4 linked regions of the Saccharomyces cerevisiae S288C genome follow. The protein of the gene in region 3 interacts with the protein of the main gene of each other region in a biochemical or structural test. Each region holds a gene or a part of one and is shown on either strand. Other genes may lie near its edges. The genes, in order: GOS1, SFT1, SEC22 and BET1.

What was found.
Region 1: the proteins of SEC22 (region 3) and GOS1 form a complex in vitro, tested with the Saccharomyces cerevisiae proteins (2 studies listed by BioGRID).
Region 2: the proteins of SEC22 (region 3) and SFT1 form a complex in vitro, tested with the Saccharomyces cerevisiae proteins (3 studies listed by BioGRID).
Region 4: the proteins of SEC22 (region 3) and BET1 form a complex in vitro, tested with the Saccharomyces cerevisiae proteins (4 studies listed by BioGRID).

What each region holds. Positions count from the first base shown.
Region 1 is NC_001140.6:38,315-41,152, forward strand, and holds GOS1 (Gos1p), read right to left. Parts: upstream 1,173-2,838; coding exon 501-1,172; downstream 1-500. Other genes in the region: GUT1 (glycerol kinase), read right to left, coding at 1-194; ECM29 (Ecm29p), read left to right, coding at 1,770-2,838. UniProt on the Saccharomyces cerevisiae protein: Involved in transport from the ER to the Golgi apparatus as well as in intra-Golgi transport. It belongs to a super-family of proteins called t-SNAREs or soluble NSF (N-ethylmaleimide-sensitive factor) attachment protein receptor.
Region 2 is NC_001143.9:429,617-432,545, reverse strand, and holds SFT1 (Sft1p), read left to right. Parts: upstream 1-1,913; coding exon 1,914-1,949; intron 1,950-2,090; coding exon 2,091-2,348; downstream 2,349-2,929. Other genes in the region: 60S ribosomal protein eL14 RPL14A, read right to left, coding at 1-113, 512-640; CAP1 (Cap1p), read right to left, coding at 2,438-2,929. UniProt on the Saccharomyces cerevisiae protein: Vesicle SNARE required for retrograde transport within the Golgi complex.
Region 3 is NC_001144.5:678,584-681,451, forward strand, and holds SEC22 (SNAP receptor SEC22), read left to right. Parts: upstream 1-1,616; coding exon 1,617-2,261; downstream 2,262-2,868. Other genes in the region: BOP2 (Bop2p), read left to right, coding at 1-1,341; DCS1 (5'-(N(7)-methyl 5'-triphosphoguanosine)-(mRNA) diphosphatase), read left to right, coding at 2,603-2,868. UniProt on the Saccharomyces cerevisiae protein: Nonessential SNARE involved in targeting and fusion of ER-derived transport vesicles with the Golgi complex as well as Golgi-derived retrograde transport vesicles with the ER.
Region 4 is NC_001141.2:347,444-350,529, forward strand, and holds BET1 (Bet1p), read right to left. Parts: upstream 1,063-3,086; coding exon 1,052-1,062; intron 921-1,051; coding exon 503-920; downstream 1-502. Other genes in the region: protein disulfide isomerase EPS1, read left to right, coding at 1-354; iron-sulfur cluster assembly protein CFD1, read left to right, coding at 1,679-2,560; CMI7 (Cmi7p), read left to right, coding at 2,858-3,067. UniProt on the Saccharomyces cerevisiae protein: SNARE required for targeting and fusion of ER-derived transport vesicles with the Golgi complex.

The sequences.
Region 1 (2,838 bases), on a different chromosome or scaffold from region 3:
TTGAACAGAATGCATCTGGATGAGGTCGTTCCTACATCAATACTGGCGATAAGCGGGACGTAGTCACTTCGTAAATCTTCCATTATTTTGGACATACGGCTCTGTTCTTGTTTTAAACTAGTGTAAAGGCGCTGGCTTGATCGGAATATGTAACGTTTGGAGAATACTACAAGTCGGAAGAGAGAGGGAAACATATAACTATTTGTATAGTTCCGGCCACAACTCAAACCACATGGTATATTTTATATGGTTCGAGAACAGGCATCCCCCCACATTTTATTACACCTTATCCGTTCTAAAAGTCTTGGCTGTCTTTTTTTCCTTTCCTTTTCCTTTTTTTTTTTTCAATTTTTTTGTCAATGCAGTCAGCCCCTCACTATGCTACTCCACACCCTTTAATTGATGGTTTTACTCCAATTAGAAGAGAAGAATTACGAAATGGCCTGTATGGGTAGATTCTTGTTATGTTTTTACATACGTTGTTTAATAAAAGTCGTTATTTACCATGTGAAAAACAAAAACAGTATACAAAGGGTGGTTATCGTGGCCAATACAAACGCGTTTTTCTTCCTTCTCGTGTTAATCTTCATAATAAGCTGATTGACACCTGGTATTCTTTGTAAAGTTTGCAACACCTTGTTGTTTGCCGTGTTCAGCACGTTGCTCTGCGAGTGGAACTGCGACCGAGTCTCCCAGGCTTGGGAGATGAGACGGTCGACTACGTTGTTGGACTGATCGATTCGCCTTGTTTCGTTCTGAATGTACTCGTCAGCATCCCCTATAGGAGCTGGCGCGTCCGTTGTGGAATTAGCAATATCGTTCTTCACGCTGAATAACAAGTTTAGTCTGTTGCGCTCTTGCTGGATGGAGGACCTGATATTGCGGAAGCTCTTCCAGTGGTCTTGTAAGATCTCCTTGTGGCGGTGCAGTTGGGAAAGCTTTGAGGCGGAGATTGCCGGGTTAGAATCGCAGATTTGTGTTAATGAATCGATTACATCCTGTCTCTGGCCTAAGATTCCCTCCAACTGCTTGTCTATCTTCTTTTCTTGGCCAGTTTGTTCTGAACTAGTTGTCTGCGCGAATGTGGAGTACTTGGAAAGAAGTGACTCCGTTTGTGTTTCTAGAGAAATGGCCTTGCCCCTTATGGTGACGAAAGACGGTTGTGAGCTCATGTGGTGTGGTTGCTTGTCTGGAATTGGGCTTTTCCCTGTGTCTAGTTAGTTTATTTTTTCCTTGTCTTTTTATCTCTTTTTTTTTGTTTTTCGTTCTCTTTATTTTCAACAACGCCTAGAAAATTTGGTTACCAACCACACTATTGAACAAAGATAACTAACTGATTGAACAAGAGTAGGCGTCTTACACTGGGTTTGCAAGTGTCATTGACTTTTGTTGCATTGCTGTGAAATGCACATTCGGAGCAGTTGAAGGTCTCTTGCTGAATGCTCACATATTTTCAAAATATTGTTTTGGCTGCGGAGTTTGTGCCTGATCAGTAACTACCAATCTCGTGAGATTTTTCATAAGCATCTTTGAAAGCTTTTATACTTATTTGATCTTTGTATATATCAGGTTTTACCAGTTTAGCCGCCAGAGTTTTGGTATTTATGTGTTACCCGGTATATCCATATGCCTTTTCTTGGTGGCAAAAAAAAGGTACTTCCTGATATAAAGAAGCTGGTAAGCTCTCGATAACTGATCTCTTTGTCTTTGTGCAGGATTGGATAATACAATAATTATAGAAAAGTTTCTATTTCACCACGAACAACATTATGTCCATTTCTTCTGACGAAGCGAAAGAAAAACAGCTCGTGGAGAAGGCAGAATTGCGCCTGGCTATCGCAGATTCCCCTCAAAAGTTCGAAACTAATCTGCAGACTTTTTTGCCTCCATTATTACTAAAACTCGCCTCTCCACATGCCTCCGTTAGAACAGCAGTATTTTCAGCCTTAAAAAACCTCATTTCTAGGATAAATACGCTGCCCCAGGTTCAGCTTCCTGTGAGGGCGCTTATTGTCCAAGCAAAGGAACCCAATTTAGCCGCTCAACAAGACTCGACCAATGTCCGCCTTTACAGTCTGCTACTGGCGTCTAAAGGCATAGATAGGCTTTCCTTGCAAGATAGACAGCAGTTGCTACCGTTAGTCGTTTCGAACATCTCGTGTCTAACAGGCACAGTAGCCGCCAGAATGTTCCACATCCTTTTGAAGCTTATTTTGGAATGGGTTGCACCCCAGGAGTCTTCACATGAGCAGGAAGAATTTGTTCAGTTCCTTCAACTGGACAACGACGGTTTTTCGTTTTTGATGCGCCAATTTACCAGGTTTTTTCTGCTGGTACCTTCAAAGCAAGTCCAGGTTTCTCAACAGCCCCTGTCGAGAGGTTACACATGTCCGGGCCTATCTCTAACTGATGTGGCATTCTTTACTTATGATGCGGGCGTTACTTTCAACAAAGAACAGCTGAATAAGTTCAAAAAGGCTATTTTTCAATTTGTTTGCCGTGGCATGGCGGCTACCCAAACTATTGAGCAGTCACCTAGGATGATTGAACTGATGGAATTTTTGTGCGTTGTCTCTACGGATTCTACAAATTTATCTGATGATGCGGCTCAGTTCATGAAACGGTTTCCCATGCCTTATGAAAACGAAGAGTTCATCACCTTTCTTCAGACGCTGTACATCGGCAACACAGCAAATGGAAGACCGCCGGTCAAGGCTATCTTGCAAGAAAAAATCCTGTCCATATTAAACAGAAGTCACTTCGCCACCACCAAAGCAGAATGTATTTCGTTGATTTGCTCTATTGGATTGCATTCATCTGAGTATAAACTTAGATCTT
Region 2 (2,929 bases), on a different chromosome or scaffold from region 3:
ACGGTAGCAGTTCTAGCACCTCTTGGTAGAGCAAAGGTCAATGGAGTTAAGACAACTTGACCCAAGTTGATGGCTTGACGTGGAACACCAGCTTTTGGACCGTCAATCAAAACCTATAATAATTATAACAAATAATTTAAAAAAATTATTCATAAAAGTTGTTAGTAAACGAAATTTTTTCAAAACGATGGAAGGCATGGTTTAATATTTGAGGAAACATGGTCAGGCTCTTTAAGAATTAACTGCGCAAATATGGGTCATCACCTTTCTGAAACTAGGTAAGCTGCTAGCAAAATAAATAAATAATCCACTATAGGCCACTCCAACAGGGAAATAAAGACTTTTTTGTATCTCTATCGCAATGTGTATTTTCACATTTACTTATCGTTTACAAGTAGCTTCATCCATGGTAACGGATTGGATATTTGCCAGCACTTTTTCGTAGCCTAAATCTCATTCCTCGTTCATTTCCCTCCTCAAATCGATGATAGGTTTTCCGGATTTAACATACCTTCTTTTGGTCAATAATTTCGACGATAGCGGCCAATTTACCTGCGGATTGACCCTTCTTGATCAAAACCACACGGCCAACTTCGACTAATCTCCAGTTAGAAGCCTTGACAATAGAATCGGTGGACATTGTTTATTTTATTTTTCACGACTCTCTTTGTTCACTAAGACAAACAATTAAATTTGTTATACAATCGGCAGACCTGATCAACTTAACCTTAGATTACTTTTTTTTCAGTTCAATAGTACTCGACGAGTACGAAGGGCAGTCCACTGAAAGCTCTACGCTCTCTCCGTTGCCAATTGGGCTGAGAATGGAAACACTGCGCGCTGAAGGGAAACCCGATTATGGAAAAATGCACGCAGCTGCAAGCAGCAATCTCTCGTAAACCGCTCTTTTCCGGGCGGAAAGTTAGGCCGACACCTGTTTGAAGCTTCATAAAATGCAAAATCGAAAAAAAATTGATAACGGACACTCAAAATTTGATATTTCACACATATTATGTATGTGATGTCAAGATGTAAAAATAGTGTATGGGTGTATTTGCGCTGTCAATTATTTTACTCAGAGTATAGTTACATTCTGGCAAGAATTTGCTGGTTTTGTCTTTTTTTACTTCACAACTAATGCTGGATTTTTTTATTTAAACCTAATTTCTTCAGTGAACTCCAATGTGTATTCATGTTTGATTTTAAAAGCTTCAATTTTAAAAGCTTCAATTTTAAATATCCGATGACTGTTAATCGCAGCTGCTAGTGAGATGACTGACAAAAGGTTCAGTAGAAACATAAAATATATAACAAATGTGTTGAGAATGATAGTATGATACAGTGGTATCATATTTCGTTCCTATTTGAGGTACCAGTAGTTCTTATCAAGAAGATTCAATGAGAAAGGTAACTGAATGATGATATAATTTGCGATCTAGGGCTAATCACTTGGAACACCGCCATGTTCTATATGGGTGATTAGCGAAGTGCGAAAAATTTTTTATCTGATATTTTCCTTGAACAATATTTCTAATAACACTTGCGTTGTTGCAACTGGCAGATTAACCATGTTGCTCAATATTCCTTCCTTGTATATGGGAGAACATCTTGAGGCAATGTTTAGAATTTAAAAATGTGTGCTCCCTTAAACTACGCTACTCAGAAAGGATCTTCGTGTGTACGGTAACTGACCAATGAATATTGTGCGGTAAGTATCTTATGTTTCTTGTTGCTGAATGTACGGTTCATGCAGTAAATTAGCTACTCTAGTTTTCTTGTTATTGCAAGAAGCCGCGCATTGCTACATGCAGAAAAAAAAAGAGGAAATAATATAAGGTATATCATTAAGAAGGATACTGGAAGAACTCAACAAGGAGAGAACGGTAGAAAGGTAATATATAATCATCATAGCGATGTCAAATTCTAGGTATTCTCAGACCGAATCAAACGTATGTAAATCACCGGCAACACGCATAGGTGTTTAGAATGGGACCTAGCTTGCTATATGGATGTTATAAGCTACTAACTATTGCTTCTGTACACCGGATGAGCAGATGTATCATCCCTTCATGTACATGTACTTTAAACAGAATGATAGGAAACTAGAGGGGTTAGCCAATAAATTAGCTACATTCAGAAACATAAACCAAGAGATTGGAGACCGAGCGGTCTCTGACAGTTCTGTCATAAACCAAATGACAGATTCATTGGGATCGATGTTTACCGATATCAAAAATTCGTCCTCAAGGTTAACCCGATCATTAAAGGCTGGTAATAGCATATGGAGAATGGTGGGTTTGGCGTTATTAATATTCTTCATTCTATATACCCTGTTTAAGTTATTTTAGTGAGCCAATCAAGCCAAAAATAAATAATGTACATAGATGTATTCAATTTAAGAAATAGGAAGAGAATGGAATAAGGCAGGCATGAAATTTCATTTGCCTTCTGCCGCATTCTTACCCAATCTATAACTGCCAATCGCACTACCCCAGTTAATTTTGGATCTCGTGACTGGTAATCTTCTTCTTAAGGCCTTAAACTGTTTTTCGTTCAAGTCGAAAAATGAAAGATCTAGATCATTTTCGAAATTCGTCTCAATATCCCTTATTGTGCAAACAACGTCATCAACGTTAGATTGATTGATATCCTTCCCAGATTGGAAACTAACGTTACCGTCTTCGTAATAGTGGACTTGCGTAGAGATTTGACCGGATAACTCCCTGGTCTCCAAATCGTAGATGTAGCTTGATCTCCAATGGCCGTTCCAGAAATTGTTTGGATTATATTTGGTGCTAACAATAATAATAGAAATTTTACTTATTTCCTCAGGGACTGGGTAAACAGCAAAACTGACATCACCTGGAAAGCTCTGAAGAAGATATTCGTGCAATTTATCGTGCAGTTCTTTCAATTGCCCTTTCTCTAT
Region 3 (2,868 bases):
TTCTCAGATTTGAAACTCATAGAAACCTTCTTCCCCTTGGCGAATTCCAATTCAAACATAATCGAGTTCGTATTCTGTGTTCGCAATATAAAGAGTTCGTTTTATTCACCTTTGGAAAAATTACATATTGCGAACATAGTCGCAGATATTGATATTAACACATTGTATCTGGACTTCGTGGATTCAAATATCTATTCGGATCAAAATTTCTTTGGGATTTTTGATCCCGATATTTTTCAGCTGATTAATAAAAACTATAGAAACTTCTTTTCTAAGACTAACGAAAAGGGGAAGAAAAGACCCCCCATTTGCAAGAAAATCTGTTTTCCCTTTGTTGAAACATTGAATTTGGATTATATGGCCCTTGATTCATTCTTTAATTCGATACTGCATAAACTAACAACAAAGATAAAAACATTTGAAAGGAACAATGAGTTTGACGTGGATAAAAATTTAAATTTAAACTCGACAACGACAGTAGCAGCTTTAATTATCAAGTCGATCTTGCAACAATTCTTCAACAATTTTCATATCAGCTTCCCTAATTTGGTTACCTTGAATTTTATTAAGATGTCTACCTACCCAAACAATAATGAGATTACCCAATGTTGTAACTTCATAGATTTATCTTCATATGTTCTAAACAAATGTTTAAGTGAGAATATCTCGATAAATTTCCTCTTTCAGTTGCACTCTTTGAAAAATTGGTCAATGCCCAAGATTAAAGAATTCACTGGGCACAAATTCAAGTATGACGAAACAACATTTTCAGGTTCACCAGAAAGGTACATCAAATCATTGAGGGGAAACATTAAAATTTTGCAAGAAATGGCAATTAACGAAACCAACGATGGTACTTGCTATTTCAGAGTCAAGTTGATACCTGAGGGGGTAGAAAAAACTCAAATAATCAACTGGATCCCCTTTACTTCTTCATTTAGCGATGATACCTTCAAACAAAGACACCATTTAAAGAGGCCAATGATTTGCTTGAAGAACAACTCTTTAAGATCGCTCACTGTCAAAATCATACGTATTGAAAAATGTTCATCCATCCGAATCCAGGGATTTTACCTACCAAATCTGCAGGAACTGTTCATCAACAATACCCTTTGCGACACCACCCAACACCAAAAACAAGCGTCAAATGATATGAGTTGTATAGAGTTCACTTCATGGAATGAACTACCACAATGCAAGAAATTGGGATTTGCTCAATTAGAGGACGACTCTAACTACGTTCTTAATATCAGTAACCTACAAGACCATTTACCAAATCTGGACCTGCGGGAGAGTTTCCCAACTTTCTTCGATATAAGACAGAAGTTTGTCGTGGTTTGAGGTCTAATTTTCAACCAAACGTGTTGTACTAGCATATATAATTAAATAAATTTCTCTAGTTATCACTTGATTTATCTAATAAGAGACGTCATAAACGAATTTTTTTTTAGCAATAAATCCTCAACGCTTTTTGTTTTCATTTTTCGGTCTTTTTCTACCATAGAAGATAAACAAGTAGAGCCCATGTAATATAATATATCTACAACCTATTATTACCCAAAACCAACAAAAACCCTGACAGTGACACCCCGTTACACACTCACAATTAAGTAGGGATGATAAAGTCAACACTAATCTACAGAGAAGATGGGCTGCCTCTTTGTACGTCTGTGGACAACGAAAATGATCCCTCATTATTTGAACAAAAGCAAAAGGTGAAAATCGTCGTTTCCAGATTGACACCACAGTCTGCCACGGAGGCTACTTTGGAAAGTGGCTCCTTTGAGATCCATTATTTGAAGAAATCCATGGTGTACTACTTCGTCATTTGCGAATCTGGATACCCAAGAAACTTAGCATTCTCATACCTTAACGATATAGCGCAAGAATTTGAACACTCATTTGCTAATGAGTACCCCAAGCCTACCGTAAGACCATACCAGTTTGTAAACTTTGATAACTTTCTACAGATGACAAAAAAGTCATACAGTGATAAGAAAGTTCAGGACAATTTGGACCAACTAAACCAAGAGCTTGTAGGTGTCAAGCAAATCATGTCCAAGAACATCGAAGACCTACTTTACAGGGGAGATTCTCTCGATAAAATGAGTGACATGAGTTCTTCTTTGAAAGAAACATCCAAAAGGTACAGAAAGTCCGCGCAAAAGATCAACTTCGATCTCTTGATCAGTCAATATGCTCCTATTGTCATTGTCGCTTTCTTTTTCGTCTTTCTCTTCTGGTGGATCTTCCTCAAATAGACGTCACCCCATCATCCCACATCACAAATCCCGATCAATTTGGTCCAAGTGTATAACATAGTCTAGTTCAGTATTAGTATAGTATGGCAATTTATTTGACATAATTACGTATTTTTCAGGCAAGCTGGCAGGTGACCCGCCGCACCTGCACTTTTTAGGGAGTCTTTTCAAGGATATCATCACTATATATCGAAGGAAAAGAGGCTTTCCAACTCTTTTGGATGATCGAATTGCCATCACTACTCTATTAACTGTCTGTGTATTAACTAAATAATCACATAGTATTAAGTTATAATTCCTGGAAAAAAAAAGAAAGCGAAACGACAAAATTAGCATATACCATGTCTCAACTGCCAACAGATTTTGCTTCATTGATCAAGAGATTCCAATTTGTTAGTGTCCTCGATTCCAACCCTCAAACCAAAGTTATGTCCTTATTGGGAACCATTGACAACAAGGATGCTATTATCACGGCTGAAAAGACGCACTTTCTATTTGACGAAACCGTGAGAAGACCCTCTCAAGATGGCCGCTCCACTCCAGTTTTATATAATTGTGAAAACGAATATTCTTGCATCAACGGAATTCAGGAATTAAAGGAGATTAC
Region 4 (3,086 bases), on a different chromosome or scaffold from region 3:
GATAAATCAAATAATTACTACTACAATAAAGATAATTTTGGCAACTCCTTGACTTCTAACAACCCTCAATTGCTGAGAGAAGCATTCGTGTCCTTAAATATTCCATCAAAAGCTCTATACAGCTCTAAGTTGAAGGGGAGATTGATAAATTCTCCATTCCATAATGTCCTCAGTTTCCTAGACATAATCCACGGGAACGGCATGCCCGGTTACTTAATTGTTATTGTTTTGTTTATCGCAATACTCAAAGGTCCATCTATTTACAGAAGATACAAAGTAAGGAAACACTATAGGGCGAAAAGGAACGCTGTCGGTATCCTAGGAAATATGGAGAAAAAAAAAAATCAAGATTAAACGCTTAAGTAGTTATAAAAATAAAAGAATGCTGATATCTTATGATGCTATCATAACTATCCTTTATTTCACGTATCAATATCTACAATCATCTAACAAACGTCGCTCTTATTTTGTCACTTAGGTTTAATGTACAATATGCAAATATTTATGTAATCCATACCCAAAAAAATAGCACGCCTACCATAAAAAATATTATTAACCATGTTTTTATACTGATCCCAGATCTTCTGGCCATCTCCATCATGTTTCCAAAAGTCCTTTTGAGTTTTACAGAAGTGTTATGGAAAGTATCACCAAGCTGGTCAATAGTTTGATTGCTGCCTCTAATCTCATCACCCATCTTCAACGATAATGACTTGAGTGCTTTTATTCTCTGACCCATAGCTCCCATCTGTTCCTCACTTTGAGATTCAAGAGATGCCAAAGTACTTTGGGAGTAGTCTAATTTATCTGTGCTCCCTAGCGCTGATGATACATTGTCATCGAGACTATTTGATCCATCAGCCGGTCCGAATAACTGTGTTCTACCAGTATCACGTTGATAAGCGTTTCCCCCTGCAAATCTATATACACACGCTATAGTTAGTAAACGAAGTTCACTCGTGGTCAATAACTCCCAATATCGAGGTGTTATGGTAGATGTTTAACAAAAAGCGCTACTCTAACTTTAGAATAGTCTAATAATTTCTCATACCTTGAACTCATCTGTGTAGCCTAGTGTTGTGAGGCTCTTCAATCACATTTTCTAACACATTCACAGTCTCAAGTGAACTACTGTTTGTTTTCTACCATTCCTTGGCAAAAGGCGCGAGTTGAAAAAACTCCATTTTTAACAACTACTGGATACTTTCGCAATTTAAAATTAATGGAAGAAAGAGCCGTGAACGTTCCTACGTAGCTTGCAACAACGGTAGAGTAGTATCCGCCAATTAGCATGCATAAATTTCATCTGAGATAGTGCAACATTATAAAAAATCACTAATACTTTCCCTGATATGTCGCCCCTTCAAATTTTTTGCACGCCACATCGATAAGAGTGAAACATATCCCTGAACAGTAACCTAGAATGTACAGAAATAACTGGAAATACAATTACAAAGCGATAATTACGGGATCTTTGGTTCCTATCACAGAGTAAACACCATGGGTTTATTAGATATTATTTGGAAGAATCACATTAGACGGCTCATCGCGCAAGTAATAGCAAAATGGAAAGAAATCGGAAGGCTTCATTAGTCATGAACGTTTTACACCATCAAAATGAAAACTATACACATGCGTCGAGGAGCACCCAAAACTAATACGACTATTACAATTAAGCATGGAGGAACAGGAGATAGGCGTTCCTGCGGCCTCTTTGGCAGGAATAAAACATATCATATTGATCCTTTCCGGAAAAGGTGGTGTCGGTAAAAGTTCGGTAACGACACAGACTGCGCTGACTCTTTGCAGTATGGGCTTCAAAGTTGGAGTTTTAGATATTGATTTAACAGGGCCATCCTTACCGAGGATGTTTGGCCTAGAGAACGAATCTATATATCAAGGTCCTGAAGGTTGGCAACCTGTGAAAGTGGAGACAAACTCTACTGGCTCTCTTAGTGTAATATCATTGGGGTTTCTACTAGGTGATAGAGGGAACAGCGTGATATGGAGGGGTCCTAAGAAGACTTCTATGATAAAACAATTCATCTCTGACGTCGCCTGGGGTGAACTGGATTACTTACTGATCGATACCCCTCCGGGAACGTCGGATGAACATATATCGATTGCAGAGGAGCTGAGATATTCCAAACCAGATGGTGGTATTGTAGTAACTACCCCACAGAGTGTTGCAACAGCTGATGTCAAAAAAGAAATCAATTTCTGCAAGAAGGTCGATTTAAAGATCCTCGGTATAATTGAAAACATGTCAGGGTTTGTATGCCCGCATTGTGCTGAGTGTACAAATATCTTTTCCAGTGGGGGTGGTAAAAGATTATCGGAGCAATTTTCTGTCCCATACCTTGGTAACGTTCCTATAGATCCAAAATTTGTAGAAATGATTGAGAATCAAGTTTCAAGTAAAAAAACGCTTGTAGAAATGTACAGAGAATCATCTCTTTGTCCCATTTTTGAAGAAATAATGAAGAAACTGAGGAAACAAGACACTACAACCCCTGTTGTGGATAAACACGAGCAACCCCAGATAGAATCTCCAAAATAAGATCCTCTCCTATGCATGTACGTATATATATATATATGTGTGTGTGTGTGTTTATATACACTTATATTTTGATCCTTGGGCCTAGAAATAAATTTCGATTCCTATTTCGATTCCTATATCGAAAGGTGGTTAGAAGCTAACCGGCAACTGCAGCATGTTCTTCAAGTGGTGATACAAATTTAAAAGGCCGGGTAAATATTGACAAAGAAATAATATTTAATCACACAATTTTGAGAAAGAGCAACTGAATCAATTACTCTAGAGAAATCGCAGAACACTTCACTCGTCGTCAATAATATGACTCGTGATACACCCGAAGATGTCAGTACTGCAGGCGCAAAGGATATTTTAGATGTTTTGAACCTACTAAAAGGAGGAGAAGAGAAAATCTCGGAAGTCGAACTTAAGTTGGATGAAATGGAAAAGAAAATGGACTCTCTGTTAGTTCAGTTAGAAGATCTACACAGGGACAACAATGATTTGGCAAAAAGTTCCAGCCAAAAATAGAGAGTACGCTCACAGCCGC